Lonchura striata: one gene and its partners. The protein of the gene in region 1 purifies or fractionates together with the protein of each later gene. This does not show direct contact. Links are inferred from orthologs where the notes say so. Each region holds a gene or a part of one and is shown in the gene's direction. Other genes may lie near its edges. The genes, in order: PTPN5, MAPK14, MAPK1 and ATP5PO.

Region 1 (8,410 bases):
ATGTCAGACCTCCTGCACTTTGGTACTCTCAAGAAGCAAAATGATTTCTCAGAATAAAGCAGAGAAATCCTGCTGCTTCTCAGCTCTGCTGCTGCCACCCCCTAAACCCTGCAAAGGCACTGTTCACCCCATGGTAGAGAGCTGGTAGAGTAGCTTGGAGCATTTGGGAATAAGGAGAAGTGATAACACGGTCTACTGAAGTCTTTCTGAACTCTCAGAGGAGGTCCCATCACAAGATGAGTCCAGATTTTCATAACACTGAATTTTGGAAGGGAAGAGGATACTGACCTAGTGGAGTAGTTTAGTTTTTCCTTACATCAGACTGACTCACCCTGCTCTGATACCAGCTCACAATTCTCTCTTAATTGGGAAAATCGCAAGGATAGTACTCACTGCCAGAATTCTGGGTCATAAAGTCATTCTCTGACTCAGAAGAAGGTTTACAACAGCTGTGGCAGTGATATGTACTGCAGGTGAGTCATGTTGAACTGTCGTAGACAGGTAGAAGAATTATAAAAGAGAGGCCTTATGAAATCAGGCCTTGCTCTGCTAAAATTGCCAAAGCTGGCCTGTCATTTCTTTCAAGTGCAGCTAACAAGAAATTTGCAAGTTCCCGTGTGAAGCTATTTTGAGAATGAGAAGTTCATTTAACACAACAATCTATTCTGAGGGTAAAAACAAATGCACCTGTGTAAACAATAAGGTTTTTCCCCTGAGAATGCACAAAGGAAAATGTCAACATATCTAGAGAGAGAAAATTTGATAGGCATATACAATAACCCGTACAGACCAATGAACTGAGTTTCACTATGTTGCTGACCAACTGGGCTTAACACAGTCCTTCTGAGATTTCCTACAAATATTATGAGCTTTGTGAATAAAGAATTGGCTTTCTGCATTAAGAAAATGGATTCTCAGCAGTTTTCTTCCAACATGTGGTGATCATGAAGATGCAATTGACACAAATTTAACACAAAAAAAAGAAACTATGGAAATACCCTTTACCACCTCACACAGGTCCAGCTAGAGGTGTCTACAGACACAGCATCTCCAAAATGTCTGGTTTCTAGTTTTCAACACATGCTGCACTAAGAAAAGTCAGGATTAAGTCACTGAAAGTCTTGTTGGATATTCTCTTTGTTTACTTCCCCATTCTACTGCTTGATTTGTGAAATTTCTTCTTCCAGCTGCACAATAATTCATTCAATCTCATAATTTTTACTGACAAGAGGGACCCATGTGGATTCCATCTCACGCAGCTTAGCCCCACCTGTGAGTTGCATGTTCTTCCCCTGCCAGTTCAGGTCTTGAATGTTTTTCTTCAATTTCTGAAGCTCTTTCTGGGCTTGTTCTATCATATGAACTAAGTGCTCATTGTACAACATCCAGCATTGCAGCCATGCTGGGACATGAGCTCTAGGTTCTCGATGCACACGGCCTGGTGCTCCAGCTGTGCCATGAATTGTTCACACACTCCTGCCAAGCCATGATGTTGTTTTTCTGCCTAGAGGACAAGGTGGGCAGCTTGTACCTCTTCATACTGAGTAGTTCCAGGGATTGCCAGGCCACCAGGCTTTCAGATCTTGGTCTGCATGATCTCAGTGTTGAAGGCGCTGTAGTCGTGCACGGGCAGGTAGCTGAGGTAGTTCTTGGTCAGCCAGTACTGCCGCGTCTCTTCCCCCACCAGCGCCGTGGCCACCTCCCGCACGCGCGGTGCCTCGTAGCCCTGGTCAAAGTAGGGCAGCGCATCCACCACCACATCCCCGGCCACCAGCCCCAGCACCAACATCTTGGCCATGGCTGTGCGCACTCACATCTCACCCAGCAGGACCGCACACGGCTTTCTCCCAAAATTATTTGCAGCAATTAATTTTAAGTACTTAACTAAGTCCTATAGCCTTGAATTTTATCTGCAGCAGTTCTTTAAAGTTTAGAAATAATTAGCTGATGAAAAAAAATTTTACTCCTGAAGCAGATAAAGTCAGAATACAACCTGACACCCTGTGGGTCAGGGTGTTGGTAGCAGTCCGAATAAATGATGGCTGCAGTCCTCCTGGAGTGAGAAATGTGGTTCTATTGAAGCAGTGATCCTGTAAAAGTTTTTCTAGTTTTTCTCTGAAGGTCCAGTGATGGCATAGAAGGGTCTGGTCTTCCTCTGGGAATCCAGTGAAAAAAAGCCCACTGGTGTTCCACATCTCAAATTATATCCAGGTAGGAATGCTTGGCTCCTACCCCTGGGTGGAGCATCTCACAATGGGATGATGTCATTTTATCAGCCATGCAGTGAGACTCAGTGGCCCATTAACAGAAGATAACTCCTGGTGAGAGGATGGGTTGTTGAGGAGATAAAGAACACTGCCCCACCTGGTTTTAACAGCTGATCATAAAATCCATACTTCTGGTTACATCTTGCATTGCAGTCTAAGGTGGTTAAATATTAATTTTCTATATTGTAAAATATATAGTTGCTTTCTTTTAAGAGATAAGTTTACTCTAAGACAGCTGTGATAAACACTGATAAACACCTGTTGGTGCTTAGATACAGTGTATTCACTCTTGATTTTGTCGAAGATTTTATTGCTCCTTACAATCTCCACTTGTTTTATCTTCCATAGATAACACAGAAGAGTCAGTGATGATTCTACATTATGCCTGTTACTGATTGTAAGCTGGTTTAGAGTTTTCCTTTGTTTTATTTTGCTGTCTCAGGTACATGGCTGTTTAGAAAGGTGTGATTTCAATTTCCTAAGATGGTAACCACTGGTATATTGAGTACACTATGTGAATTTACTGATTTTATACTCTGCATTATTCATAAGATGCTATTACTGTATTTATAGCCAGCTTCTTATATGCTTTAACATCTCTTTGTGCAATTATCTAAAAGACACGTGTCATTTCAGAATCTTTCCTTTTTTGTTCTGTAGCTGCTTTTCCATCCCTGTGACCAAATACATGAAGGATTGCACTGCCTTATCTTATAATGATACATTCATTGTTCTATAACAAAAGATTTGACAGTGCTTTATTTTCTACTCAGTTTTCAGGAACACAAAATTTAAAAAATTAAGGTCCTTAGATACTTCTCTCCACAGAAATCAAAATCAGGGTGTTTTTTTTTAATTCAGAGGCTAAAATTTTAGCTGATATAAATATTCTGGCAAGCATTAAATTTGTGGCATATTGGTTTAAAACAGCTCAGAATGTGATTCTAGATTAATGGGACGAAACCCCATGTTTATTGATTATGTAACTGCAAATGCAGATATGTCTCGAGTGCAGCATGCAATGTACGTACCAGCATATAACGAAATTTTCCATGCATATTCAGAAGTAGAAAATGTTCTTTTCAAATTAAATTGTATGAGATTTAAATAAATAAATAGAGTTTGGTGTTCAAATGAAGAATTCTAATGAACAAAATCAAGAAAATACATAAAATACTAGTTAAAGGAATTACTGATTTTCAGCGCATGGCTAGTGAGGTAACCACTTACTTTGTAGGCCCCCACTACCTCAACATTTAATCCTTTGTGCAGTAAGGCTACTAAAACTAACATCACAAACTGAAGTGAAGAATAGTCCCAGCCAAAGCGCTGGGACAACCTCTGCTCTCCAGCCAGAGATTGTGAATAGTGTGTTTAACAAGTCACAAGCATTTTTGGGACAACTGATCTGAGGGAAAAAAGGATTACAAGGCTACCCCACAGTACCAGCTAATCACTGGGAAAACCAAGTGGGCTTTAAACTAATTTTGAGATTGTTTCCTCCCTGCTAGTACTTCTGGACAGTAGTCCTAGTTCAGGTATTAGGTGCTGGATTTTTATGAGTACAAAATGAATAATTGCCTTTGGTGGAGTGAAGTAGGTTTATAATTGAGGAACTAACCAGTTGCAGAGGCATCTCTAAGGCTACAGTCGCGTCTCTAGCTCGAGAAGACATCAACCTTCCACCTTCTGCCTTGTGGGAACAAACCCAGCGGAGGCATCGCAGTGTCTTCAAGCGACCTTTCAGCCCCCTCTGAGCAGAGATGCCGGGAGGGGTGCCGCTGGCAGTCAGCGACCGCCGGCTCCCCTCTCTCAGGAGCCCACAGCCGGGGCCGGGCGCTGCCCCACAGCCGGGGGAGCTGCCCCACAGCCGGGGCCGGGGGAGCTGCCCCACAGCCGGGGGAGCTGCCCCACAGCCGGGGCCGGGGGGAGCTGCCCCACAGCCGGGGGAGCTGCCCCACAGCCGGGGCGCTGCCCCACAGCCGGGGCCGGGCGCTGCCCCACAGCCGGGGGAGCTGCCCCACAGCCGGGGCGCTGCCCCACAGCCGGGGGAGCTGCCCCACAGCCGGGGGAGCTGCCCCACAGCCGGGGGAGCTGCCCCACAGCCCACCCGGGCCGACCAGCCGAGCCCGCCGCCCCCGGGCATCACTGCGGCAGCGGTCCCGGCGCTGCCGGGGGCCGGGCCGGCTGCTCCCGCTCGCTGCCTGGCTGTTTCATTCATGCTTTCTCCTTCGCCATCTCCCTCTCCGACTGAGGGGAAACGGGAGCGCGCGTGGGCGGCCGCTGGAAGGCTCCCTGTCAGTCAAGCGGCCGAGCTGAAAAGAAGGCGAGCGAGGGAGAAGGAGGCAGAACAGCTTTCCCGGGGGAGGGGGCGGCTGTTGTCGGCTGCCAGCCTCGCAGCCCTTCCCGGGGGCATCTGCAGAGACGGGGTGGGGGGAAGGCGGGAGCGGTGTTGCACCACAGACCTTCCCGCTGGGGGGGAAGCGGCTCTTTCCTGTCGCTCGTCACCTGTCCCCCCTCCCCACACACGCACCCAGCGGCGACGGGGCGGGAGGCGGCGGCCGCCTTGTCTGCGAGCACCCTGGGTCCGTATCCCCGGCTCTGTGGGGGCTGCCCGTACGTGTCTGCCGGGGCACCGAGCGGGGCGAGCCCGGAGGGTGTCAGTGGTGGGGAGTACGTGGGGTAGCGCGTCCCCTCGGCTCCCCGCAGGACCGGGGAACTTCCTCAGGCTGAGGGGCGCTCCGGAGTGCCGGCACCCAGCGCAGCGGGAGGAGGCTTTCGAGGGGAGGCTCGGGGCAAGTTGCACGCTTTCGGGCGGGGGGGCGGCCCCGCAGCGGGCTGAGGTGGGCTGGCGCTCGGTACCGGCAGGGGAGGGGAGCGGGCGGCTGCCGACGGCGGGAGCGGGGCTCCGGTGCAGCGGGGCCGGGGATTCGGCGGGGGAGAGCCCGCTGCCCCCACCGTGCCGCAGCGCTGCCTTTGTGCTCCCTCCGCACCTGAGCGCCGGGCTGGGAGGGACGGCGCAGGTGGAGGCGGGCAGGCGGCAGCTGCGGCGCATCCCCGGAGCCGGGGCGGGGAGGTAAGGCGAGGCTGTGCCGTGCTGCGGCGGCCGCTCCCGGGGTGCGGGGGGCGGCTGCACGCCGGGGGCTGTGCCTCCGGCCGGCGGCGGGGGCGGCGGGCAGGACACGTCCCTTGCTTGGCTTTTCCCGCAGCCGTTTCCCGTTTCGTCCTGCTGCGCGCAGAGAGATGCAACAGCGGCAGCCCGGTCCCCTGGGGAAGGACGGGGCTTGGAGGTGGGCGAGTGGCATCAGCCCTGCCGGTGCGCGGTGAGGCTGCCGGGCGAGGGGCTGGGGCCGAGGGGAGCAGCCCGCAGGGCCCGGGCACGGCGGCGGCGCCCACAAGGCTGGGCTTTTCCCCCGCCACAGAGCGCCGGGATGCGCGGAGCAGATGCCGGTGTATGCGCCTAGCGGACCTCGCTTGGGAAGGGCTGGCGGATTTGGGGGAGGCTGCTTTCGAACTGGCACAGCCGGTTGTTAATTACCGGCTGCAGTTAAAATTTTAGCAGCAGCAACAGCTTTGCGATGCTTTCCGGGAATGCTGCTGCCTGGGAGCTGATGTTCCAGGCGGCCCGCGGTACGGGCCATCTCTCTCCTAGATGGCAGTGGTGAGAGCAGGATAGCTGTCTGTGTAGGCAATAAAGTGTTGAGAACCTGGAGTCCTGTGCAGCTGGATTTTGGTAGTTATGGGTGGAATGGAATAGCATTCACATGTGCCCTGTGAGCTTTTTTTGCAGTTAAGATAATTATTTTCCTTCAAACTTCACATACGGTTATCTTGTTATGCAATTACATTTTGGTGAGACTGGGATTGTTATGTTATGTGAGAAAGGAAAAATGAATTTAGTAGGTTAAGCCTTTTGTATTGCAAAAGGCAGCGTTATTTACAAAGTTGTCGAGGTTTGGATCCAGCTCCGCTGGCTGCCACCTGATTGACATCGATTTACAGCTGGTGGTCAGGCTCTGTGTTCGTGTTAGAGCAACAAATGACAGATTCAGAAGAAATGTGGCTCCATTACGCTCTTTTTTTTTTCTTTACTTCAAAAACGTCACATACACTGAGGAAGCAATTTTTTTGTTTGATCACAATGTTTTGTTAGTCAGTTTCAGATGATAACTTCCTTGTTGCATAAATTGTGCAGTTCAAGTTCAAATCTCAGGCAGACCCAGAGTTCATGTTGATTTTAGCACAAGTTGTATGGTGCATGACAAGGGTGCTGAATTTTACTGTGTGGGATAGCTGAAGCAAATTTTCTTGCTGCTTGCTCTACTTCCAGTTTGTTCCTTTGGAGTAGTAGAATGTAGTGATTTTGCCAATGTTGCTGTTGATATATTTGAGTTAATGTTGTACATTTGAAGCCAAGGATAGTTCAGGGGCTCAGTATATGCCCATTGAGAGAGAAGATTCAGCCAGTTGACTTGAATGTTGGTGAAATGGACATGAAAACTCTTACTCTACATTTGCAAATAATGAGTCCAAACGTTCTCAGTAGGTATGTGCAGAAAGGTAAGCACATCACGTTTGGTCGTTTTATTCCTTTTGTTATAATTAAACAGGCATTATTCTCTATAGGGTTGTGTCATTGGTTTGTTAGGTTTTTTTACTTCTTACTTAGCAGTATTATGGTTTAAGGGCTTTAAAATCTTTGTCACTCCACTGCAGAAATAGTTGCCAACAGGATGTCATGCATATAAAACTAGAACAAGAGCCTTTAAATAGCAAAACCATCAATTTAGTAACAATTTAGTGTGATAAATGGCAGAATGCACAAAAAGAATGCAAATCTGAACAATTATAGCATTCATCTTTTGGTATTAATATTGATTAAGTATAAAGCACAAAAGGCAAATAGCCACATATAGCTTTGAAGTGCCTAACCTGGTCTGAAACAGAAGAGCTGTTTTCTGCCTTGTGGGTTTTTTCCTGTTACATGGTTTGTACTTTAAAAACAAGCATGGGGTGGGGGAAAGATCAGGGAACTTTTTACAAACATTTCTTTTGTTTTCTGGATCTCAGAATTCCATTATGTAGCAGGATGCTTTCCAGTTTCTGCTTTCTCTGTATCTGTAAAGGCAGATGTTGCTGCAGTAGGAGCAATTATACTGATTTGCAGCACAATTAAAAAAAAAAAAAACTATTCTCTCTGCCTCTGTCTAAAAAGGTCAACCATGGTTTGGTCTTGTCAATAGAAGAGATGAGACAGGGAAGTTAAGTTTGTTTAACAAAGAGAGTGAAGTAATGTACAATTAGGAAATTTCTGTTTAATGAATAAAATGAGTAGATTTGCCTAACCAACTACACTGAAGAACTTCACTTGCTTGGATTTCCTTCACAATTGTCCACAAGACAACCCTTTCTGAAAGGCAGGGGGTTTAGCTAGGTTTGATCTCTCTCACCTGTGGAATGTTGAGTCCAAAGGCAGGAGAGGCAGTGGAGACTAGAGGCATGTAGGCTTTTGTAGAAGAGCATTTCTGACTTGTAGTTTTTTCAAAAGGTTCATGACAGAAGCCTATAACTGAGAACTTTGCTCTCACAGTTCATTTTCAGTTTCCTGCTTACCCTGTGCAGGCCACAGGAGCGTGTGACTGGTGTGCCCCAAGATTCAATCCATGATAAGGCCAGCTTCTTCGTTCAAACTGATGCTTAGAGGGTTTATATTGAGACTTCAGAGATAATGTGTTTCTACTTTAGAGAATATTTGAGATTTCCTTGCAAAGAGAACATGAAAATGAAATTTAAGAGCTGAAGGACTGATTTGCACTAAAGCATCTTTAGCAGAATAAGGCCAGCAGACATGTAGAGTATTTGTGTGCTGCATGTATCCCTGCTACCACAGAGAGAGCAAGCTATATGACAGTCAAGAAAGGCAAAGGTTTTGAATATCTCTGGAACATCACAGTATTTTTTATTTCATGATGGAGCTCATGTTCTTTTCAGACTCCTCTTAATTCTACCCAGAACTAAGACTGTTCTGATTCTATGCAGAACCAGACTGTCCTGTGATTTTGAGTGACTTTAAAGAGTTAGTATGGTAATAATTGACATCTTAGAAAATAGATTCAAGCTCCTGTGTTGTAAGAGTCCTGATC
Region 2 (7,467 bases), on another chromosome or scaffold:
CATTTCATCTTAAATCAAAGCTGTCATAGGAGAGCCAATAGAATCTGAAAATTAGGGCTATGCCTTTCATGGGTTTTACATTACTCATTTTGAACAGAGCTGAGAGAAGCTTGGCATGAAGCCACTGTCCAGAACAATGTAGGGAAGCATATGTGGTTTGAGAATTACTCAATACCATTTGGGCCTTCAGTTTTTCCTGTCTTTCAGTCCAAGAAGATCCAGGATTCAGTTTTCTCTGCAGTTAAGAGACTCTACACAGTCTTCTTGAAAATCCAAGTTCATATCTGGATATAACTCTTAGCCAAGGGTGGCCAGAGTGTCAAGGTGGTCAAATGCAGTTCCCATAACAAGGTGACACCACCTGAGCAGCGAGAGGGCCCTGCTGGCATGGGAGCACAGGACAGCCCAAACCTCCAGCCCTCGAGGAACTGGGCTCACAGGGACTGCTGGAGGTGACACCCCTGAGCTGCTGTGGGTCCCTGCTGCATTCCCAGGCAGCCTCACCTCAAAGGGGGCTCCTGTGGAAACAGTCACCTCTGTGAGGGTGCTCCCCACCTTCCTGCATTAAAGGGAGACTGGTGAATATTTAGTGTCACCTTCATTCTTTGAAGCTTTTTCTATGGGGGAAGAGTTTGAAAGGTCAATATCCTTGCATTAGACTATTTTGTGCAATGCCAAGGTGAGGGAGTTAAACAAGTGGTTTCATGAGCAGCAGAAGTCAGGAACCCTGCTTTCCTCCAGATTTGGGGAGGGTTTTCTTCTCCTTCTTGCCTCGTTCAGGTGTAGGACCCCAGCACAGGATGATTACCCAAGACTGGATTCTTTCCCTAGGTGGGACAACTACTGGAATATTTTACTCAGAACAATTGCTTTTCCTGGAATTTCCAGCCACCTGCCCAATTCAAACTTGGCTGAGACAGCTACCAAGCTTAAAAATTATTGCAGAATACTGACAGAAAAGGCATAAGCTCCAGTTCTTCAGGAAGTCAAGCTATCTCTGTTTTTCACTTCCCCCATCATCCCAAAGACAGCTGGTGCAGTAACCTCTGGAAATAAAAAACTTGGAGCTTTTGCCCTCCGCTGGCAGGATTCTCACTCTGTCAGAGAAATAAAAACAACAACAACAAAGTCATTCCCTCCTGCAAAACTCAACAGGATGCTTCTCCAGCTTGCACACAAAGATGTCTTTGCCCAAACAGGAACACAGGACTCAAAGCAACAAACTGGATTATCAATCCATTACATTTGTGAAAAAATGGAGAATTCAAAAGGGGATCTACCCAGCCGCATTTCCTCAACTCCATGACAATATTTAAGTTACTGGCAGGATAATTTAACGTGAAGGCTTAAATGTCAAGCCAAATATTCTACCTTCTGCTGTTCAGCCTGACTTCAGCAAGCTGTTCTGCAGTAGATTCTAACTCACCCAACTTTCTGCCTGTCCAAAGCAGCCACCTGTGTCTCTGCAGTGCTCTTGTGTGGCCTCCTGTGCCCACCAAGGTTTGCTGTGTTTGCTCTCTGCAGGCACAGGTGTTATCCCAGAGCTGGCACACACCATCCATCCCAGGCAGGCACCTCTGTGCCCTTGCATGCCACTCAGATGAATCACAAATGCTCTGTGTGCTGTTCACCTGATAGCTGGAGAAGCACAGAGCACTGGATACATCAGTTGCTTGACCTAATTAACACTGCAGAAAAAAGAGGGGATGGTATTTTGATTCCTCCTGTTCTGACCTAGAAGAAAACCACATAAACACTGCATCTGGGCAGCAAAAATTAACAAACCTATCCCACCTCCCCAAAATGAGACAAATGTTTCCTGAATTAAATTATTTAGTGAGTGGGTTAAATCAGGACTTGACCTACATGATATATTTCCCATGTATGTGTTTGAATCAAAATTTCCAGTAGCTAAACTCTGACTAACCCCACCGCCCAGTGCTCCTTCTTCCCCCTTTTAATTCCTGGCATGTTGGTGATTTTTTTTTTTTTTTTTTTTTTTTTTTTTTTATTCACAACCCAAATATAAGTAAGGCTTTTGACATCCCTGAACTGTGAACAGTGACCGTGGGGACTCACATTAACATTACAGAGCTGTGTCCCCCTCCATAATTTCACTGTCAGGGTGGCTCTGCTGACAAGTGCATACAAAATGGAGAACAGAAAAAACACATGAAACAGGGAAGTGGCAAAGAAACAGGGAAAAATCATGAGGAAGCAAGGCAGACATTTTTCTTAAACAATGAGCTGGAGGAAGAAATAAAATATATTTTCTTATTAGACAATGCAATGATAAAGTTTCCAATAATATTAGCAAAATTCTGCCTTTGAATTCTGGGCAAAACTTATTGTATTACATCAGGTAATTTTGGGTGGACAGACTCTTAACTCTACATCACATGTCACAGTTATACACGATTCAACTCTTGCCATCAAGTGATTTTGTTTCTCTGACTCCAGAATTTCATCCAATCTCCATCTTAGATTTTTAAAGATATTAAATGACAGAACAGAAGGCTTTTGCACAATGTAAATGATCTCACTATTACAGAAGGTAACCTTGTTGACAAGTCTTCATGGTTACTGAGAAAACAACACCAACTCAAACTACAGCTCTGTTTGCCTGCATTTATCACCTGAAAATTCCTTTACAGCAGTGTAAGCTGGACAAGACCCGTAGTTTCAGGCTTCAGTACCACACGTGGCTAAGCTGATGAAAGAGCTGGTTATCCAGAAAGAGAAGCCTGGCTCCCCTGCTTTCCTTTCCCTGTGTGGTCCTGTCCCTTTTGGCAGCAGCAGGCTGATAGATTAGCTCACCACACCTTGGAGAACCTCACCCAGTGGCTCAGTCTTGAGTCTCAAGCCTTGTCCCCGTCTCAAGAGAACAGTTTAAGTTTCAGTACACACTGAAACAAAGCCCAGATAAATGATGAATAAGAGATTCTGTGTTTACTTTCATAGGAGGACTTAGCAGAACAGAAAAAGCCATAACCACTGAGAGTCCAGACTAGATCCAAAAAGAGATTCAGAAAGAAAACTGCAATATTCATAGTCAAACCAAACTAAAACAAAGAAACAAAAGCACAATCACTGAGACCTGTTTGTTCTGATACCACAGCAGGGACTCCAGCATTAGATTTACTGTCTTGTACACATACACATCCCCAGCCACTCCAAACCACAGCAGGGCGAGGTGTGTCTGACATCCTTGAGCACAATCACCCTTTTCAAGGCAAGGTCATACATGCAAAACTAACAGCAAGAGTTTGCAAATTAAAGGTGTTAAGAATCCTAACATACCAAGAAGTAGTTACTTTATAGGTGCAAGCAGTGGTAACTTTTAAGTGTTTACTCCTGTGGGCTTCAATGACTTACACCACCATAGGAGAGGGTGCCACTTTGTGTAGAGAAGGGGTTTGATATGGGAAGCCAAATGTTTTAAAAGCAAGCTTCCGTGACCCATTCAGAATGTGTGTATCTTGCTAACAATTCACCTTTCTAAAGCTTGAGATTAAAAGCTAAGTGGCCTGAACATGAATTATTTTCTGTGATATTCTGTACTTACTGTCTGGTGAAGACACCATGGGTTCCACTCCAAAGTCAGCTTAATCTGCCGCACTTAATAACTTTAGACTTATGCATGTACTGGAAAGCAAACACATCTGTGTCTTTGATACTGCAAGGCCTTTTGAGCAGTATTGAGACGCAGCTTATTCTCAAAAAACACAGAGAACGATCAGGACACTGGGAAATGTGTGCAGCGCGAGCTTAGCTCTCCTCAACACCTCTGGAAGGGAACAAACCATCCTCGGGAAGTTTAGAAACAATTCACACCAACTCGCAAGCTTCCGCAAGCATTCTCATCGATTCTCCTTTTGTTTTTTCACTTTCGGAACACCTCGGGGAGAAGCGAGGCGCTCGCTGAGGCGCGGGCGGTTCGCGCCGCCCTCCGCGCCGCTCTCGCGAGACGCCGCCGCGCGGGCTCCATCTTGGGCATCGGTGCGCGGAGCTCCGCGGGCGCGGCCGTGCCGGGCCGTGCCGGGACAGCGGGGACAGCGGGGCCGGCGCTGTTTGCGCTGTGTACGAGGTCGCAGCGAGGGGCGGAGGCGGTGGCTGCGGCGCCGCCTGCGCCGTCCCACCTGCGGCGGCAGCGTGTCCCCGCCCCGCGCGCCGGCGCCCCCGCCTCGCTCGCCGCTCGGCCGCACGACCGCCGGCCGCGCCTCTCGGGGCCATCCAGCCCCTCGCGGCGCTGCCCGCGGAGGGAGAGAGGGAGGGAGAGCGGCGGGGGAAGGCGGGGACACGGCCGCGCTCGGCCTCGCCCCCCGCGGCTGCGGCAGCGGGGCGGGGCGGGAGCGGCCGGCGGCGGCAGCGGGGGCGTCGCTGCTGCGGGGCCGCCCCCGCCCGGAGCGCCGAGGGGAGGGAGCGAAAGGAGGAAGGAAGGAAGGAAGGAAGAAGTCGCTGGTGCCGCTGCAGGAGCAGGAGGAGGTAGTGGCGGCGGCGGTGCTGCTGCAGCCGCAGGCAGAGCCTCCCCCTCCCGCCGGGCCGGGCGGGGCGGGCTCCGCAACCGAGATGTCTCAGGAGCGGCCCAAGTTCTACCGGCAGGAGCTGAACAAGACGGTGTGGGAGGTGCCCGAGCGCTACCAGAACCTCTCCCCGGTCGGCTCCGGGGCCTACGGCTCGGTGTGGTGAGCGCAGGGAGGGGACGGGGCAGTGCGGGGGAGGTCGCGTTAGGTCGCTGCCCCGCCGCCCTGCCGGGTCCGTGCGGGGCGGGCACCGCGGCGAGCGGGGCTGCTCCGTGCCCCGGGGGTTCCTGTCCCCCCGGCCTCCTGCAAGAGACACTTCTCCTCCCGGGTTTACGCGCGGTGCTGCCGGGAAGCCGCAGTCTCGTCTTTGGAATGCGTCGGGGATTGCACCACATGGCAGGTGGCTCCGAAACATTTTTGCAGGGGAAGATAATAATGTGTCCTTGCCGGCTCCCCCCCGTCCCGCCCCGAATGAGCTCATATGGATATATTTCAGTGACTTACGGACATATTTCACTGTGATTTCTTGCAGTTTGTAGGTGGGCAGTGCAGAGGGATGCAGCCTGGAAAGCCCCCCCCGCCATAGGTGGCTTTGCAGAGCTAAGGGCTTGGCAGCTCTTGTCCCAGTTTTCTTTCTGGACCTGAAGAATAAATTGTATTTGAGTCAGTTGTATTTTCATCCGGAATTTGTTGATAGGCAAGAAATAGAATGTAGGGAGGGCTGTTTTTGTATTCCTGACTTGTTAATAGTGGATTTACAAGCACCGATATTTTATTGGCAATAATAGATGAACACAGGAGGACTCGTTTTATTGCTATAGAATTACTGCAGCATGTGCTCCCTGGGAGAGTAAAGTCCTGCTATGAGACCTGCAGGAATACAGGGAGCTTGAAGAGTTTAGTTTTTAATGCTTACCTAATAGGAACAAACCAGGCTGCATGTGTGAGATACAATGCGTCCTTAATTTGTAGCTTCTCTGCTGGACTGCGGTGGATCATTAAACATAAATAGAGCTGCATGCTTGGCTTAACCTTAAAGACAAGGTAGTATTTGAATCGGTTTGACTCTTAGACTTTAGCAGTCATTTAGTTAAATGTGCACAGATTACTGCCTCCTTTGATTAAGAAACATCTTCCACCTGAGTCTTTGGGTTTTATTCTGTGTTCTTTGCTTCTGTCAAAGTGTGAGCAGAATTTTGAAATATGGGTGCATAATTACAAAGCTGCTTTGCTGTTTTGTTGGAGCAGGCATGCATATGTGTTTATTAATGTATGCAAATTTACATTATGGGTATCAGTTTTATTATAAGGAGGGACACATGCTGCATTCTCTTAGTACAGAAAATAAGCTCCTTTGGACATGCTACAGTTTTAATGAAATGCTCAGCTGTTCTTAACCTGTTATAAAATTGTTGGTAGAGTTGAGCTTAAATAACTTGCATTTTTTAAAATGCTGTGATTGAAGTGTGCAGAGGCTTGCATTTCATAAAAGTAAACCAGGCTGGTCAATTTTGTAGTGAGAATAACCAGTATATTTGCTGAGGTGTGTTTTTGGTTTGTTTCTTGTTTTTTTTTTTTTTTTTTTTTTTTTTTTAATATAATTATAGAATAATTTTGATTGGAAAGGAATAGACAGGTTTCTTTTGGTGAAAGAAGAACCTTGTTGACACAGCTGATAAATACCCCTGTCGGTGTCACAGAGTTATGCAACTTCTGAAATGTAATGGGAAATAAATTTGCTTGGTGCCTTGTCCTTTGTATTTTAAGGTTGATTCTACATCATATACCCCACTCCTATTTTCTTTTCTCCCTCCCTGTAAACTCCACTGTATAAGTAATAGTTGCAAAGTTTGTTTTCAACCAGTAACTAAAGACTTTGCATCATGAATTTCCTGTTCTGCTGTGTCAAAACTTTGAAAGATTGTGCAACTTTATTCAGACCAAGTGAAACAGTTTTGTATTGGAAGCAATTTCAGACATGTGGCAGACTTTTTTTACAGTCCATGTTAATGGCTTCCTGTATGTTCTTCTAAAAATAGTTTTCAGAAAAGATATAGTGATATGGAAAGTATGTCAAAATTGAAAAATTCAAGAAAACGACAAAAACTTTTGCATATTTATGGATGCTTATTAAGCTACAAGTGGTGATGCATATTACTTACGGTATTCCTGCGAGGACTTATTCTGCTCTGTCCCTTTAGAGATTTTTTTCCTCTCCAGTAAAAAGCCACCTAATTTCATTTGGTGTTTGGTGTATCCCTGTTGGGATAGTACATAGTGGTGTTTTAACAATCCTTAAAATGGTAAATCTATTTTCATGTATGTTCACTATTATTATATTCAAATGTAATCAAATGCTCTGTTGTTTAAGTTGTCAAAATGAGGCATTTGAAAATGAGGCATCTCCAGAAAGTGGAGGGGAAAATGAATAAAAAAGGAAGCATTAAGCTGCCAGATGAGTCACTTAGACTATGGAGCTGTTGTAAGCTGCTTTGAATATGGCTTGGAACTCCCTAATACACAAACCTGACAACTGGGGAGTCAGTGGATGGAGGGAGAGGCATTTTCTGCAGGACTGCCTGAAGTGAGAGCAAATATTGCAGTGTTTTCTGAGGGGTGGTGTGCAGTGTTGCAAGAATGAGGTTCAAATGGCCAGCTCAAGTATTTTTCAGGATCTATTTTTTAAGAACTACAAGTGTTAGAGATACAAATAGGGATTTGTTTCCAAAACTTAGAGAAAAATCTACGCATATCCTCAGATTGATTCTTCCTAAGTCACGTAACAATTGCCATGGCACCTGTTGTAGGAAATGCTGTTTCATTCATTCTTGCAACATTTTGTGTATTTATTCAACACAGTCTTTTGCATGGCTTTTGTAACCAGGCCTGCATTGAAAAAAAGAGTTCCTGATATATCCATTTTGTAATATTTCACGTAGGGAGA
Region 3 (7,544 bases), on another chromosome or scaffold:
CAAGTAGGACGTGTACTTGTGCCACCAGAGTCATCGGCCGCACGCGTTTGTGCTGAACGTCACCCCAGCAGGCGCCGACGTCGGGGAAAGCAAGTCCTGGTGAGCTCTTTTTAGCAGGCCTGGCACCAGTCCCCAAACTGGTTCTCCCTGAATAGACTTGTGTGTCTGCCAGGGGCTTCCCTTGCACACAGCCAGATGCAGTGGGGTCTGGATATCACCCCTCCAACCAGGGCCCTTCTATTCCCACAGCTCAGTCCCACTGCCTATTCATTTTAATTGTAAGTTACATTCTCCCCCTCCATATTCTCTTTTATTCATTCTTGCATCACCCTTTTTCCTCTGTTTTCACATCAGCCAACCTCTTCATTACAAAAGTTCCCTACATTTTTTGCTATGAGCAAAAAGCATTAAAAATGCAATATTTAGACAACATAAAATCCTAATAATCCTGTTTTTACATGCTTTGACTTCTGCCTCTGCTGGAGGCATCACTTGTCCTGCCTACAGCTGAACCAAAAATAAATGTGGGGGAAACACACTGCATGTTCTAGTATTTGTAAATTATTAGACTTCTGAGGTTATGTAATAATTTTGTAAAATTATGTAAAAACTTTTAATTTCTTAGCAATCAATGATACCAGAAACAAAAGACTAGCTAAATCTTATTGTAAGAACTTAATAGCCTTCCAGTGTACAAGGCTTCAGCACGAGAAAACAGGGGTCATGTAGCAGGACCTCAGTGAAGACTCACAAGTCGCTGTAATATGCTGTGTAAATACTTAATATGCGTATGTTTCATTTTGCCAGTCCTGTAAATTAACTTTTTATCTGGTTATTCAGTTCTCTTATCATCCTCAGCTTGTTTACTGAATTTCATGTCTTGGGCAAGATGAAGCAAGCTCATGAGGAGTAGCTGGTTTTCAAAAGATACAAGCTCCAGATAACTGAGGACAAGTAAGGCACACAACAATATTGAAATCACTCAGAGTTTTATTGCAGCTGACTGAGACAGAGTGTGCTTTGAGGCTGGGAAATTTCCATTCCTGAACTGCAGGACAGTGCCTGGATACTGCTACAACTGCAGTTGAAAAATAAAAGCAACTTAATTTTATACAGACAGCTACAAAATGTTAGTATATTAATTAAAATAGCTAGATTTATATTATAAGCTTTTAAGGTTGCTGTAAAATAGATCCCTTTAAAAATATTTAGAGTATGATTGTAAATTACTTGTTCAAAACTAAAGAATATGAAAATGATTTGAAATTGCAACTGTGTTTTCAAACTGTATTTGTGAACAGCAAAACTAACCAGAACATGATAGATAATACAAGACATCTCCTACAACAGTGACAGGTTCTGACAGTGACAGAATGATACCCAGTGCAGGATCAAGGCTGTTACTGACAGAATCATTCTGCAATTAATAATCTTTTGTGCTCCCCTTGGCATGCACAGAACAACCACAGCAATCTGTTTTCTCATCTTAACTCCATGGTGTCTAAGCTCCATGTAAAGTCTGCCAGAATGTTGAATGCAGAAAAAAAGAAATACTGGGGAGGAAAGTAAATTTTTTCTGGCACCAAGGCCCAGCAGTGTGGATGAGAGATTGTTTTTAACCTCCCAGCAGTGCAAGATTACAGCAATAGCCTCATTTTCATTAAGGTCGTTTTACACTGCGAAAGCAGTGGTCATTCACATGAAGATGAGTCTCAAGGGATTTCTGATGTGTGTCACCTGTTCTGTCAAGCCCAGGTAGGTACTGACTAGAAGTTATTACCAGCTGATGCTCTTTCTGAATCTTAGGATAGTTCCCTGTGGATCAGAGCTCATATCTAAGCAATTTCAAGAACCATCACCATGGTTCCTGAGTGCCTTAGAAGTTAAAATATATCTTTATAAAACATTTTAACATGTCTTATTTCTCTCTCTCATCACCCCCGCACAAAGGCTTGAGGTCTTTTTAAATAATTCTGGTAAAACTGTATGTACTTAATGCCAGTGTTTGATTGGGATGATGGGGAGGTTCAGGTTTATGCTGACATACTTGTACAACAGCTACCAAGAAAGCCACGGCTGCAAATCACACAACCGGTATAATTATGATGATTTTAGGAGATGTGGCTTCAGTTTTAAATTAGCACAAAGATCTGAGATGCCTCCCACCCCCACTACAGAGGGACACCATAGGGCAGCTCCATGCTGTTTGTCCTCAGCCTGACCCAGCACTGCTGATCCCAGGGCTCAGGGGCCCTGTGGTACAATGTTCCCTTTTCAAGAGACCTATTTACAGAACAAGAATTAACAGTTAAAGCAGAAACGAGTAACAGTGCAGGGAATTTCTAGATCCTGATTGTAGGATGAACTCATTCATGTGACTCCTGAACTTGACTGAAGATGGAGACAGTCCAAACCATGACGTATTTACACTGACTTAGCTAATGGCTTAGCTTTTTCTTAATATTCCTGTTTCTGCTTACACAAACTCTTCTCTGTTCAAAATAAAAAGGTCTTTTCCTTCTGCTTCTCATTATCTGCTATAATTTTTTAGTAAGTATCACCTCTTCTCCCCCTTCATTTTGATCATGGAACTCATAATTTTCTTAAAACATGTTTATGTGCTTTCCAAAATTGAGGCTTTTATGTCACCTTATTAAGGCAAAAGACCCAACATTAAGTGCAGGTAATGGCAGTGTATTTAAGTAGGGTGAAAACTGATTGATACCACTCCCATCTGCTCTGCCTATCTCAGCAACTGCAGAGCTTCACTGAAACACTGCACCCAGTTCTGCCATGGGAGGAGTTGTTGGGAGAGCATGCTGTAGCCTCTGACCATTTACTCGGGTTTAATTGGATTAGACATATATTTGAACACAGTGCTCAAAAGAGCTGACAGTCCTTCCACGATTTCCTGGCCTGCCTGGTTGGTTTCCTTTTTGATCAGACACATCCCACGAAGGTAGAAAATAATTTAGATATACACCAGTTTTTAATTAAATTTAGTATGGCAGGCTGTGTTTAAGCTACATTCTCCATAATAATTTGTTTTGCATTTGCTAATGACAGAGTTATATATGTATGTAACAGAACTGTAAGCAAATTTTCATTTTTAGAGTTAAAAGAACCTTTAAAATAATACTGTACTTGGTTTCAGAAAATTGAAACACTTGCATTTACTGGTGTCTGAAATTTCTGAGAAAAAGAATGCTGTGTGTCTGAAGTGCAGAACGCATCACGAAACAAAAACCATCATAGACATGTAAAAATTAATACATCAGAAGCATTATCCCACCCAAATATACAAACCACGAGCTGTAGAGTCGAATGCCTGTTAAAGACAGAGGCGAGTTTGTTGGATTTTGGTGCTTGTCCCTGACAGGTTTCCCTCCATCAGCCGAGGCTGGGTGGCTCCCGGAGCCCTGGGGCAGCCGGGGGCGCAGCCGGAGCCGGGACTGCGCTCCCCGCCCCGGGCACCACTGAGGCGGCTCGGCCGACGGCAAAGGAGCCGGGTCGGAGCAGGAAGGGCCGGGAGAAGGCGGGATGCCAGAAACGACCTCGGCGAGTTGGGAGAAGCGAGGCATCGCCGGGGCCATGGGTGCGGACAGACGCGAAGCAGCGGAGATGCTGGCAGAGAAAATATCAGTAGTAACCACGGTTAGTACTTCTGTCAGGGTCATTAGAGAACTGCTGGAAAGGGCAGAACTGGAGTTAAGATCCTTGTGCATGAAGCCCTGCAAACAAGGAAAAAGCTGTTTCAGGAAAACTCTGCCTTGCAGAAAACCAGAAAAGATACGGCACGGTTGCAAGCAGTACTCAAACCATGACTAACCTTCAGCTGAGATTTTACCTCCCCTACAAAGTTTATTTACATTTATACGGGAAGCAGCGAACAGGAAAACGTCATTACATGTAAAAACATTATGCTGAAAAGAGTTTGCAGAACCGTGTGAAGCCGGGAAGGGTCACAAACGAAGTCGCGCTCATGGCAGGGCGGAGCGGGCTGAGGGCGGCCGGGCCCGGCTCCATTTCCCGCCCGTCACCTGACGCCTCTAATGGCGCCGCGCGGCCACGTGACCCGCCGCGCGCCCCACGTGACCCGCGGCCGCCGCGCCCCCTCCCCAGCGGCTGCGGTTACCGCAGTCCCCGGCCCCGCCCCCGGCCCCGCCCCCTGCGCGCGCGGCCCCGCCCCGCGCCGCTCCCTGCGCGCGCGTCCTCGCCCCCCCCGCTCCCCCCTTGCACCTCCCGGGCCGGGCGGTGCGCGCGCGCGGCCGGCGGCGCCTCCTCAGAGCGGCCGCGGCGGGTTCGGCGCTGACGGGGCCGGCGGGCCGAGAGCGGCGGAGCGGCCGGAGCGGGCGGCGCCTCTTCCTCCCTCCTCCTTCTCCTCCTCCTCCTCTCTCCTCCCTCCCGCATCCTCCTCCTCGCCCCCCTCCTCGCCCGCCTCCGCCCCCCCGCACGCAGCACCGCGGTTCCCGGCACGGACAACATGGCGGCGGTGTCGGGGGCAGGGGCTGCGGGCGGCTCCGCCAGCGCCGGCGGCCCGGAGATGGTGCGGGGACAAGTGTTCGACGTGGGGCCGCGCTACACCAACCTCTCCTACATCGGCGAGGGGGCCTACGGCATGGTGTGGTGAGTGCAGCCGCCGGGGCAGCGCCCTTGCCCCGGACAACTCCCTCCTCCCTTCCCTCCCTCCTTCCCGCCGCCCTGCCCGGCCGCGGGCCTGGCCCGCCCTTGCCCTCGGGGAGGGGGAGCAGCTCTGCCTCCCGCTCCTCAGCTCTGCCTCCTCTCCGTGTTCCCGAGGCTGTCTCTCCGGCATCACCCTTCTTTCCCTCCCTTCACCCCCCCATCCCTCGGTCGGTGGGTGCAGCTGAGCGTCTCGTTTCGTTTCGCTCCTGCGTTTATTTTCTTTAAATCTTGTGCCTCTGGAGTTGGTCGCTCTCGTTATTTCCTCCGTCTCCGTAGTGCGATTGCAGACGTTCAGGAAGGGGAGGAGGTAGTAAATCCTGCTGGCAGCCCCGCGTCCCTTCCAGTGCCCTGCGAGGGCTCACCTGGCTGCAGCAGCCGAGGTCGCGGGGATAAAAAAGGTGAATCCGAGCATAGGAGTTGCTGCCGCTGCCTGACTTTGCTCAGGACGTGCTGTCTGTGCTGCAGAGCTGGCCGGATTAGTGCCTGCCTTATTGTGTGCAGGTGAAAGTTATCTTCAGCCTTCCTAGGTCTAAATTATATTGTATTATAAAGACTTAGTCTGAGTCTCGCTGAAAAGCGATCGTGTAGGTTTGCTGTGGGTAACATCGGTCTTACAGAGAGCCGTGAACGAACTACAAAAAACGTGAACTAACTGGATTGAGAGTGTGAGATGGATTTTTTAGCAGTCTCAATGAGCTGGGGTGATGCTGTCTGATCTGTGCATCTAATGACTAGGTTATTAACCTGGCATGCTCAGTAGCCTTACTTAGGATTTCATATTTTGTCTTCCATTAGTTAAAAAAACCCTGTAGTCCTGAAATAACTTAAGGGATGCAGATAAAAAATTCTTTTTTATTGCTGTTTTATCAACTTCTTTGCAACGCTGCCTCTGTTTCTTCAGTATGATTTTTGACCAGAAGTACTAAAAGCAACTTACAGGCTGTGACTTAATGAAAGCTTTATCAGCATTAATTTCTCTCTCTGATGGGGAATCTTTTGTAAAGCAGTGTATTTCTCAGCGAGGACACCTCACAGCCTTCAGCTGTGTGCTACATAGATTTTTATAGCTGTAGGTTTTTGCACATAGTCACTGAATTGTGCTGGCCTGTCAGGATGAAGTCGTTGTGTGTTTCAGGGAGGGGGCTTTCATCTAGGCCTGAGTTCAGCTGGGAGATGAGCCTCTCTCAGAGTTTTGTGTTGTGGCCTTCACTTTTCTTACTTTGCTGTGGGAAGATTCTTCAAAATGTAAATCAAAAATCCTATTTACTGTATAAAAAATATCCTTGTTATTGTTTCAGTGTTAGAAATCACAGCAATATATCTAGTCCAAAATTTGTTGATATATCTTCTGGTACAGGCTGTATTTTATTATGGTTATTTTATCATCTGGAGCAGTGTAAGGAAATGAATGCAGATAATCTCAGTAGTGGCTGCACTGGTTTGCATTCACAGTCAGGTTTTTGAAGGTCCTGGGGAGTAGCGTAGCTGAGGTGTGTGCTGGGGACAGTCCAGTTGACTTCAATGGGGTGTTAAAAACTGGGTTTCACAATCAAAGTGAAAAGCTAAAATATTTCACCACAGATGAGGGACTGCAAGAAGCAGCATGATGGCAGTTGATGCCCTTTTTTGGCATCCCTGTGCCAGTGTTCAGATACAGGGGAAACGGGGCCACTTCTGCCCCTCCAAATGGTGTGTGGTAAACTTCTACACTGAAGCTGTTTCCACTCTAAATCCAAAAGACTGATTTTTATTTGAAAACTTCTTCTGATACTTTGTGTCTGCTGTGAATGCTGTGCAAAATCACTATCAAATTGATAATTTCCAAATCTCCAGTTCAGCTGAAATACACACTTGGCTCCTTGCACTTGTCTGTAAAATTATTAACATAAAATGCCACATTATGTATTTTGTGCTTGTGATTATTGCTCTTGTGCCTTGGGTGTGAAATGACAGGGAACAAAGTCTCAGTTTATGGCGTGTACACGATCAGGAAAGTGTTGGATGCACTTGTAGCAGTGCCATAGCAGCTGTGCCCTATTGTGGTGACTGCGATGAAATGCGATTGCCTATCAATCCCAGCCATGCAGGTTGAGCAGTTTACTGCTCTGTGTTTCTTGTTTTGCTCTGGTTGCTAATGCAGTGAGGATCTGCAGAAGCTTCTCCCTCAGGGGGTGGGGTAGAGGGCAAGCTGTGAGTGTGCAGATGGAGATGTTTCCTGCAACTGCAAAATCCATTTAAATTTGTACACGTTAATAAAGGAAAGCAAAGCAGGTCCTGATGGTTTTGTTTTAGACCCACAGCTAATGTGGAGCTCTTTGGAGATGATGGTTATTTACAAGTGCACTGTGCCATAAGGCTTGTTACTTGGCAAACGAGTGTCTTTTGAATCTTAAAATCCTTCACTCTCTCTCTTGTTTTATCCTGATTCTTATGTTTCTACATTATTGGATTAGGGATTTGAAAACAATAAAATGCTTTCGATTATATGAGTAAAAGGGCAAATGAAGTATTCTTAGGACAGTGCTGTTATGGCCAGTCTTCCATTTTGATTTTGCAGCAGAGAGAATAATGTTTGAGAAATATTGATCACAACATAAAATACCAGTACAGGAAATAGAAGAAGATGTTGGCTGAAGAGACTGTACGTGAATGTTCTCTCATCTGGATTTGAAAACCCTTAAAGGCATTTAACTGTTTTCCCTAGTGCAGTCATTTTTTTACATAATCAGATTTTGAACAAAAATAAACTCAGCAGAGCAGTATATTTACTGCTGTGTTGTGGTTGCACTTTCTCAGCTTCGTAAGCAGAAAAGACACATTATCAGGCCAAACCCCAACCTAATGTCCTCCAGTTCAACTCT
Region 4 (7,660 bases), on another chromosome or scaffold:
GATTTGCAGTCAGTGTTTATTCCCCCAGCCAGCTCACCTTTAAATTATTTTTTTTGAGTGTTCTACAGCATCTTAAAAGAATTTAGATTATTTTTTAAAGTCCACAGGCACCTGGTTATGGGTTTCTCCCCCTTTTATAATGGTTGCATGGAAAATAAATGCAACCACCACAAGCTCCCCCGGAAGCATCACATGCACAACAAAATAATAACAATGAATCTTTTTCCTATTAAACAACACTAACCTGAAACTTCCCTGGGAGGGCAGGAAAATGTGGTTTGAGGTGCTTGATTTTGCAGATCAAGAGCTTTTAGAGGAGTGTGGTAATGCTGAGGGCAGAGAGTTCAGTCACCCAACTCAACTGACATTGCCCCTGTTTGGAATTCCCCTGATAGTTTTTGTGGGTTTTCAATCATTCTTTCCGGTTTGGAGGGGAAAAAATAAAATTAAAGGTTTTCTGTCCCTGCCAGTGAGTGAAAAACCCTTTTTGAATGGGGAAATGAGTCAGGTCGTGCTGGGCAGGGGGGGTTTGGAGGGTGGGCACAGGCTCCATCCCCAGGGAGCTCTTGATTTACCTGCCCAAGGGGAAACGCTTGTGGGGCAGAGTGTGGAAAACACCCCCTGGTCTGGATCCAGCACCAGCTGTGCCTCTGGAACCCTTGGGAAAGAGGGAAAAAACCCAACAAACCCCACCCCAACAAAGCCCCTCCAACCCCTCCTGCAGCTGCAGGAACAAGCCCATGGTTGTGACGGGGTGAGCTTGGCCCTGACTTTTTGGGGCCAGGTTCTCTGGGATGAACTGGAGCAGCAGGAGAGGAAAATTCCCCCACTGCTGGTAAACACCAAAGGTTTTTTTTTCCAGAGGAACTGGTCAGGAAGTTGTTTCCAGCTCCAGCCTGGCTCCTCTGGGACTCCCAGGTGCCCAGTCCCAGGCAGAGCCAGGTGAAATTCCTGAATAACAGGTGGGGAACAACAGAGCTCAGGTTTCAGGTGAAGGGGAGAAGCATTTGGTGTTTTCTGATTCCAAACCTGAGCTCAGGAGTTTAATCATTAGAGGGATTTTTGGGGTCCTTCCCAAAGACCTGGCCCAGTGCAGGGTGAACCCAGCAGGTTTTGTGGCACTGTGAAAACCTCGGGTGGGTTGTTAAAAAACTCCTCTTCCCACCTCTCCGTGCCATGAGTTGTTTGTGGAACTGGACAAGCCTTGCTCCAGATTTTGGGACACCTCCTGAAGCAGGGCCCTGAGGGAAACACCTCCCCAGCACCACCATGGCCTGAGAATTGTCACCTTCTTTCTGGAGGGTTCTCAGTGAAAGGAAAATAAAACACACTTTGCATGGTCTCAGTTGTGGTCTGACTCAGCAGGAGACAAAAAAAGGATATTTTTTCTATCCCCACATGATTAAAATGAGCACTTTAAGGTCACAACCCTACAAGCACTAAAGGGACAGGCCCACAAGGGAATGTTCTTCCAGGTGTTTCTCCTGACCTTGTTCATTAAGTGACCAGACTGAAACCAGGGACACAGGGAAATGGCAAAGGGGCAATATTTATTTATAATATATTATTTAATTGCTTTGCAGGAGGAAAAAACTCCTAACCCCTCCCATCTGTGACAATGGAGGAGTCCATTATTGTAACAGATATCCAAATACAAGGACAGGTTTTATCCAGGCTTAAATTTTCCTTCCAGTGGAAGGCATCAAGGTACAAACTCTTTATCATCTGGGGGATGTTATTTGTCCAAAATTAACCTGTGAAAGGTGCTCTGATTTTAATTCCTGAAAGCATTATCAGACTTTGACCCAATCCCCAGCTCAGTAAAGTGCCCACAGCACTCGGTGACTTCCCTGGCCTAAAAAAGTCAGATTTTCTGTCTATTAAAACACTGCAAGATCACAGAGTGTCCTGGAATAACAATAAAATAATTTGGGATATGAATACATGCTTAAAATAAATCATTTTGAAAACTTCACTGTAAGCACATTATCAAAAACCCCACATTTTTATTAAATAAAAACAAGTGTTTTTCTACATTTTAGACATGCTTTTCTCAGTAGTGTAGTTCTTAAAGATATTGAAAAGCAGAGTGATAGAATCACAGCAGGGTTTGGGTTGAGAGGGACCTCAAATCCCACCCAGTGCCACCCCTGCCATGGGGACACCTCCCACTGTGCCAGGCTGCTCCAGCCCCAGTGTCCAACCTGGCCTTGGGCACTGCCAGGGATCCAGGGGAATCTGGGAATTCCATGCCAGCCCTGCCCACCCTGCCAGGGAACAATTCCCAATTCCCAATCTCCCACCCAGCCCTGCCCTCTGGCAGTGGGAGCCATTCCCTGGCTCCTGTCCCTCCATCCTTGTCCCCAGTCCCTCTGCAGCTCTCCTGGAGCCCCTCCAGGCCCTGGCAGGGCTCTGAGCTCTCCCTGGAGCTTCTCCTCTCCAGGTGAACATTCCCAGCTCTCCCAGCCTGACAAGTTGTGTCTCAGTTATGCCAGGCTCAAACCCGTCCCTGTGCCTTGGAGAGTCACCCCGGAATGCAGCCAGGGACAGAGCAGGGAATTAAACCCTGACAGCCAAAATAAATCAGGTTGGAGCCACTGCTTTATTCCCGCTGGGACACTGAGCCCCACTGGAACTCTGTCCTGGCGTCCTGGAGTGAGCCCATCCCTCATCCATCCATCCATCCATCCATCCATCCATCCATCCATCCATCCATCCATCCATCCATCCATCCATCCATCATCCATCCATCCATCATCCATCCATCCATCCATCCATCCATCCATCCATCATCCATCATCCATCCATCCATCATCCATCCATCCATCATCCATCATCCATCCATCCATCCATCCATCATCCATCCATCCATCCATCCATCAGCCAACCATTCCAGGTATTTCAGGGATCTAAGCGAGCTGCTCAGGTCACCAGAGAGAGGGACAGAGCTGTCTGTCCCACCTGGAAGATCCTTTGAATTGGGAGGTGTTGGAATGGAGTCCATCCACGGGGAGGAAATAAATCCCAGGTTTTGGAGGTTTCTGGGAGGGAAGCACAGCTAGTGTTGAGTCTGGAAGAACTTGTGGGATGCTCCTCATGAATGGAGGGACAGGTGGGGCTGAGGTGCAGCCTGGAGATCCATGGAGGAGCTAAGATCCACCTGCAGCTCCTGGAGATCCATGGAGGAGCTGAGATCCACCTGCAATCCATGTAGGAGCTGAGATCCACCTGCACTCCCTGGAGATCCATGGAGGAGCTGAGATCCACCTGCACTCCCTGGAGATCCATGGAGGAGCTGAAATCCATCTGCAACTCCTGGAGATCTGTGGAGGAGCTGAGATCTACCTGCAATCCATGGAGGAACTGAGGTCCACCTGCAGCCCTGGAGGAGATGAAATCCACCTGCAGCTCCTGGTGAAGCCCACGCCAGAGCAGGGGATGCACAAAAGGTGTAATCCCATGGAAATTCCACCCTGGAGCAGATCCTGGCAGGGATCTGAGGCCCTGTGAGGAGAGGAGCCCCCCTGGAGCAGGTTTGGTGGAAGGGCTTGAGATCCTATAGGAAAAGGGTCCCACACTGGGGCAGTTCCTGCAGGAATGACCCCATGGGAAAAGGATCAATTCCTGCAGGAATGACCCCATGGAAAAGGGAGAAGTTCCTGCAGGAATGACCCCATGGAAAGGACCCACACTGGGGCAGCCTGATCCTGAAGAACCAATCCTGTGGGAAGTACCCATGCTGGAGAAGTCCATGGAGGACAGCAGGGCTCAGGGACACGGAGGGCACTGGGCCACTGTGGGGACAGGAACACTAGGGGGATAAGGACAGTGACACTGAGGGCACAAGGACACTGGGGACAAAGGGATGCCAGGGGCACAGGGACACCTGGTACATAGCGACACCACAGGGACACTACAGGGACAGCACAGGGACACAGGGACACCACAGGGACACCGGTGGCACAGGGACACTGGCGGCACAGTGACATTGGTGTCACAGGGACACAGTGACACTGGTGGCACAGTGACACTGGTGGCACAGGGACATTGATGGTACAGTGACACTGATGGCACAGTGACACCGGTGGCACAGTGACACTGGTGTCACAGTGACACTGGTGTCACAGGGACACAGTGACACTGGTGTCACAGGGACACAGGGACACTGATGACACAGTGACACCGGTGTCACAGGGACACAGTGACACTGGTGTCACAGTGACACCGGTGGCACAGTGACACTGGTGTCACAGGAACACAGGGACATTGATGACACAGTGACACCGGTGGCACAGTGACACTGGTGTCACAGGAACACAGGGACATTGATGACACAGTGACACTGGTGTCACAGGAACACAGGGACATTGATGACACAGTGACACTGGTGGCACAGTGACACTTGGTGTCACAGGGACCCCAGCCGGGCGCGGGGGCTGCGCTCCCCCGATGGCCCGGCAGGGGGCGCGCAGCTCGCAGGCGCCGCCCGGCGGAACTACAGCTCCCAGCGTGCCCCGCGGCACGAGTGACACCCATAATGGCGCCGGGGTGGGCGTGGCCCGCCGCGCCTGCGCAGCGCGCGGTGACCCTGGGGGCGGCCGGGCAAGATGGCGGCGGCGGCCGGGCTCGTCTTGAAGGTGAAACTGGGGGGCGGCGGGGCCCGGGCGGCTCTGGGGAGAACAGCGCCGGCTCCCACCCTCCAGCATCCCCTTCCTTCCGACCCTCCAGGGCTGCGCCGACCCCGCTCTTCTCCCCCTTATTCCCCCTCAGGTGCGGCAGCTGAGTACGACGGCGGCGAGACCGGTGACCAAGCTGGTCAAGGTGAGGGGAGGGGGTGAGGATAAGGGGCTGGGGTGGCCTGAAGGCAGCGGGAGGGGTCTCCAGGCTGGTGAAGATTGGGGGGGCTGGGTGTCCTGAGGGGAGCAGGAGGAATCTCCAGGCTGGTGAAGATTGGGGGGTGGATGTCCTGAAGGGAACGGGAGGGGTCTGTAAGCAGATAAAGATTGGGGGGTGGATGTCCTGAAGGGAACGGGAGGGGTCTCCAAGCAGATAAAGATTGGGGGGTGGATGTCCTGAAGGGAACGGGAGGGGTCTGTAAGCAGATAAAGATTGGGGGGTGGATGTCCTGAAGGGAACGGGAGGGGTCTCCAAGCAGATAAAGATTGGGGGCTGGGTGTCCTGAGGGGAGAGGCAGGGGTCTCCAGGCTGGTGAAGATTGGGGGGGCTGCGTGTCCTGAGGGGAGAGGCAGGGGTCTCCAGGCTGGTGAAGATTGGGAGCTGGGTGTCCTGAGGGGAGCGGGAGGGGTCTCTAAGCTGGTCGAGGTGAGGAGGTGGAGGTCGTGGGGATATCGAGGAGTCCCCGAGGTGCTTAGCGGAGGTGTCCAGGCTGGTCGAGGTGGCAGGGTGAGGGGTCGTGAGGGGCTGCAGGCGGGTGGCCGGGGTGGGCACGGTGAGGGCGGGGTGCACGGTGGCTCCCGGCTGGCCACGGCGGGGGCAGGGGGTCTCTCCCCCGGTTCCCCGCTCAGTGCCCGCCCCGGCTCCCGCAGCCCCCCATCCAGGTGTACGGGCTGGAAGGGCGCTATGCCACCGCCCTCTACTCGGCAGCCAGCAAGCAGAAGAAGCTGGAGCAGGTGGAGAAGGAGCTGACCCGGGTGTGGGTAAGGTGTTCCACAGCCAAAACTCCCAGGGGTGGGAATGGGGAGGGTTCCCTGCTGCTCCTCAGGAGGGATGGGGCTGTGGGACTGCTCCTGTGACCTGTGAGACTCCCGGCTTGCACTGCCTGCTTGTGACCCTGGTGTTTAAATGGGATATTGGGAAGGAATTGTTCCCTAGGAGGGTGGGGAGGCCCTGGCACAGGGTGCCCAGAGAAGCTGTGGCTGCTTCACTCCTGGAAGTGTCCAGGGATAGGTTTAATGGGGCGTGGAGCAGTCTTGGGTAGTGGAAGGTGTCTCTGTCCACCCAATCTTTAAGGTCCCTTCCAACCCAAACCATTCCCTGATTCTCCAGCTGGAGCTGCCATTTCACTTCCCATCAGCTCCAGAGCTCTTTGTTGTCATTACAGGAATGCCCTTGTTGCCTGCCTTGGCTGCTCCAGGTGGGCTTTGTGGTGCCAGGAAAACCCCTGGCGTTTGTCACATCCTTGTGTATCCCCTCAGAGTCTCCTGAAGGACCCCAAGCTGTCCAGCGTGGTGATGAACCCTCACACCAAGAGCTCAGTGAAACAAAAAGCTGTGAACGACGCCCTGGCAAGAGAGAAGATGTCCCCGATCACTGTCAACCTGATGAGTGAGTGACCTCTGGGTTCAGGAGAGCATCCCAGCAGTGCCATCCAGCTGCTGGCTGCTGGGATCTGCCTCTGGTGGTGCTTAGGAGCACTTGGCTGTGACTCCGAACTCAGATCCCTTTCACAGAGATCTAGATTGTTCCTGCTCCTGCAGTGTTGCAGTGGCTCAAGGGGAGACTACAAGGGAGAGAGATCCAGGGTCCTCTGTGGCTGTATTTTGAAAAGAGGAGACATCCACTGACTAGGTGGCTAAGGCTGATACAAGTAGCAAATGCTTCCTTTGGGTGTGAAACTGCTTTGTGTCCAAGCCGGAGAAGCATTGGCACTGCCAGCATGGTGGAAACTGCTCTGCATGCAGAGAATTTTTCTGGTGTGCTGTAATTTCAGTGGGAAAGTAGTTGATGGAGGGGCCAGAATAGAGCAACTTCCAGAGTTCAATTTCTCCTAGCAAGCAAAACCCCTGAAGTCTGAGATCAGACTTAATGATGGCTTTTTCTCCCCTGTTCCTTTTACTAAAGTCCAGAGTAACTGATAATTACCCCACTGCGTTTGAAGGGTGAGAAATAGTAACAAATAAAATGAAAAACCAAAAACTACCCTAAAGAAGTCATGGTGGCAGAAGGGGTTTGCTAGTTTCTCTTACTAATCCCTCTCTGTGATGGGGTAATTGGCACTGAGGGAGGTTTCCAGAGGCAATGTGTTGGCCAGAAAAATGGGAAGGAGTCATAGGAGTGGTTAGCTTATCAGTTTCCAGATACAAAGCTGGTTAAGTGAAGTGGTGCATGGCTGTTTTGCAGATCTGCTGGCTGAGAACGGCCGCCTGCGTTACACCCCGGGCATCGTCTCTGCCTTCGGGAAGATCATGAGCGCCTTCCGAGGGGAGGTGGTGTGCACGGTCACCACGGCTCAGGTGGGCTGGGGAGCTGTGCATCCAGGCAGCAGGGAGTGGGAGAAAGGACAGACCTCTCCCAGTTCAGGCTGCGCTCTGAGATTGAAGTAGCTGCTGTGAGAGCAGTGAGAGTGTCTCACCTCTGCCAAGCTGAACAAACTGCTGCAAAGAGAGCGCTGATACCCCGCAGTTCCTGTTCCAAAATGAAAACTCTTCACCCCATTGCAACTGAGCAGCTCACGGTTTTCCTTCCTGTGTGTGAACCCAGGGGCTGACAAAAGTCAGGCTGGTCTGCATAGAGCTGCCCCTGTTCTTTTTTCTAACATGAAGATGTTTCATGCAATCAGGAGAGCACAAAGTGGTTGTTGTTCCTGTGCTGTCCTTGGCTTATCCCTGTTATGGTGGAAATGTGTCTTCAAAGGGACCTGAGGAGAAAATTTGTATCATATAATTTGAGTATATATTATTATATAATTTATTATCATTAT

What was found.
Region 2: the proteins of PTPN5 (region 1) and MAPK14 purify together in Homo sapiens (affinity purification with mass spectrometry; 3 studies listed by BioGRID and IntAct, with this or other methods). This does not show direct contact. The link is inferred for Lonchura striata from reciprocal best matches to the Homo sapiens genes PTPN5 and MAPK14.
Region 3: the proteins of PTPN5 (region 1) and MAPK1 purify together in Homo sapiens (affinity purification with mass spectrometry; 4 studies listed by BioGRID and IntAct, with this or other methods). This does not show direct contact. The link is inferred for Lonchura striata from reciprocal best matches to the Homo sapiens genes PTPN5 and MAPK1.
Region 4: the proteins of PTPN5 (region 1) and ATP5PO purify together in Homo sapiens (affinity purification with mass spectrometry; 3 studies listed by BioGRID and IntAct, with this or other methods). This does not show direct contact. The link is inferred for Lonchura striata from reciprocal best matches to the Homo sapiens genes PTPN5 and ATP5PO.

What each region holds. Positions count from the first base shown.
Region 1 is NC_134608.1:47,987,047-47,995,456, forward strand, and holds the start of PTPN5 (tyrosine-protein phosphatase non-receptor type 5), read left to right. Parts: upstream 1-5,401; 5' UTR 5,402-5,510; coding exon 5,511-5,583; intron 5,584-6,668; exon of another isoform or gene 6,669-6,754; coding exon of another isoform or gene 6,755-6,827; intron 6,828-8,410. UniProt on the Homo sapiens protein: May regulate the activity of several effector molecules involved in synaptic plasticity and neuronal cell survival, including MAPKs, Src family kinases and NMDA receptors.
Region 2 is NC_134632.1:4,665,744-4,673,210, forward strand, and holds the start of MAPK14 (mitogen-activated protein kinase 14), read left to right. Parts: upstream 1-4,348; 5' UTR 4,349-4,569; coding exon 4,570-4,685; intron 4,686-5,134; exon of another isoform or gene 5,135-5,164; intron 5,165-6,685; exon of another isoform or gene 6,686-6,782; intron 6,783-7,467. UniProt on the Homo sapiens protein: Serine/threonine kinase which acts as an essential component of the MAP kinase signal transduction pathway.
Region 3 is NC_134620.1:7,339,815-7,347,358, forward strand, and holds the start of MAPK1 (mitogen-activated protein kinase 1), read left to right. Parts: upstream 1-4,271; 5' UTR 4,272-4,483; coding exon 4,484-4,626; intron 4,627-7,544. UniProt on the Homo sapiens protein: Serine/threonine kinase which acts as an essential component of the MAP kinase signal transduction pathway. MAPK1/ERK2 and MAPK3/ERK1 are the 2 MAPKs which play an important role in the MAPK/ERK cascade.
Region 4 is NC_134604.1:116,172,839-116,180,498, forward strand, and holds the start of ATP5PO (ATP synthase peripheral stalk subunit OSCP, mitochondrial), read left to right. Parts: upstream 1-4,560; 5' UTR 4,561-4,607; coding exon 4,608-4,637; intron 4,638-4,770; coding exon 4,771-4,821; intron 4,822-5,546; coding exon 5,547-5,657; intron 5,658-6,155; coding exon 6,156-6,285; intron 6,286-7,080; coding exon 7,081-7,193; intron 7,194-7,660. UniProt on the Homo sapiens protein: Subunit OSCP, of the mitochondrial membrane ATP synthase complex (F(1)F(0) ATP synthase or Complex V) that produces ATP from ADP in the presence of a proton gradient across the membrane which is generated by electron transport complexes of the respiratory chain.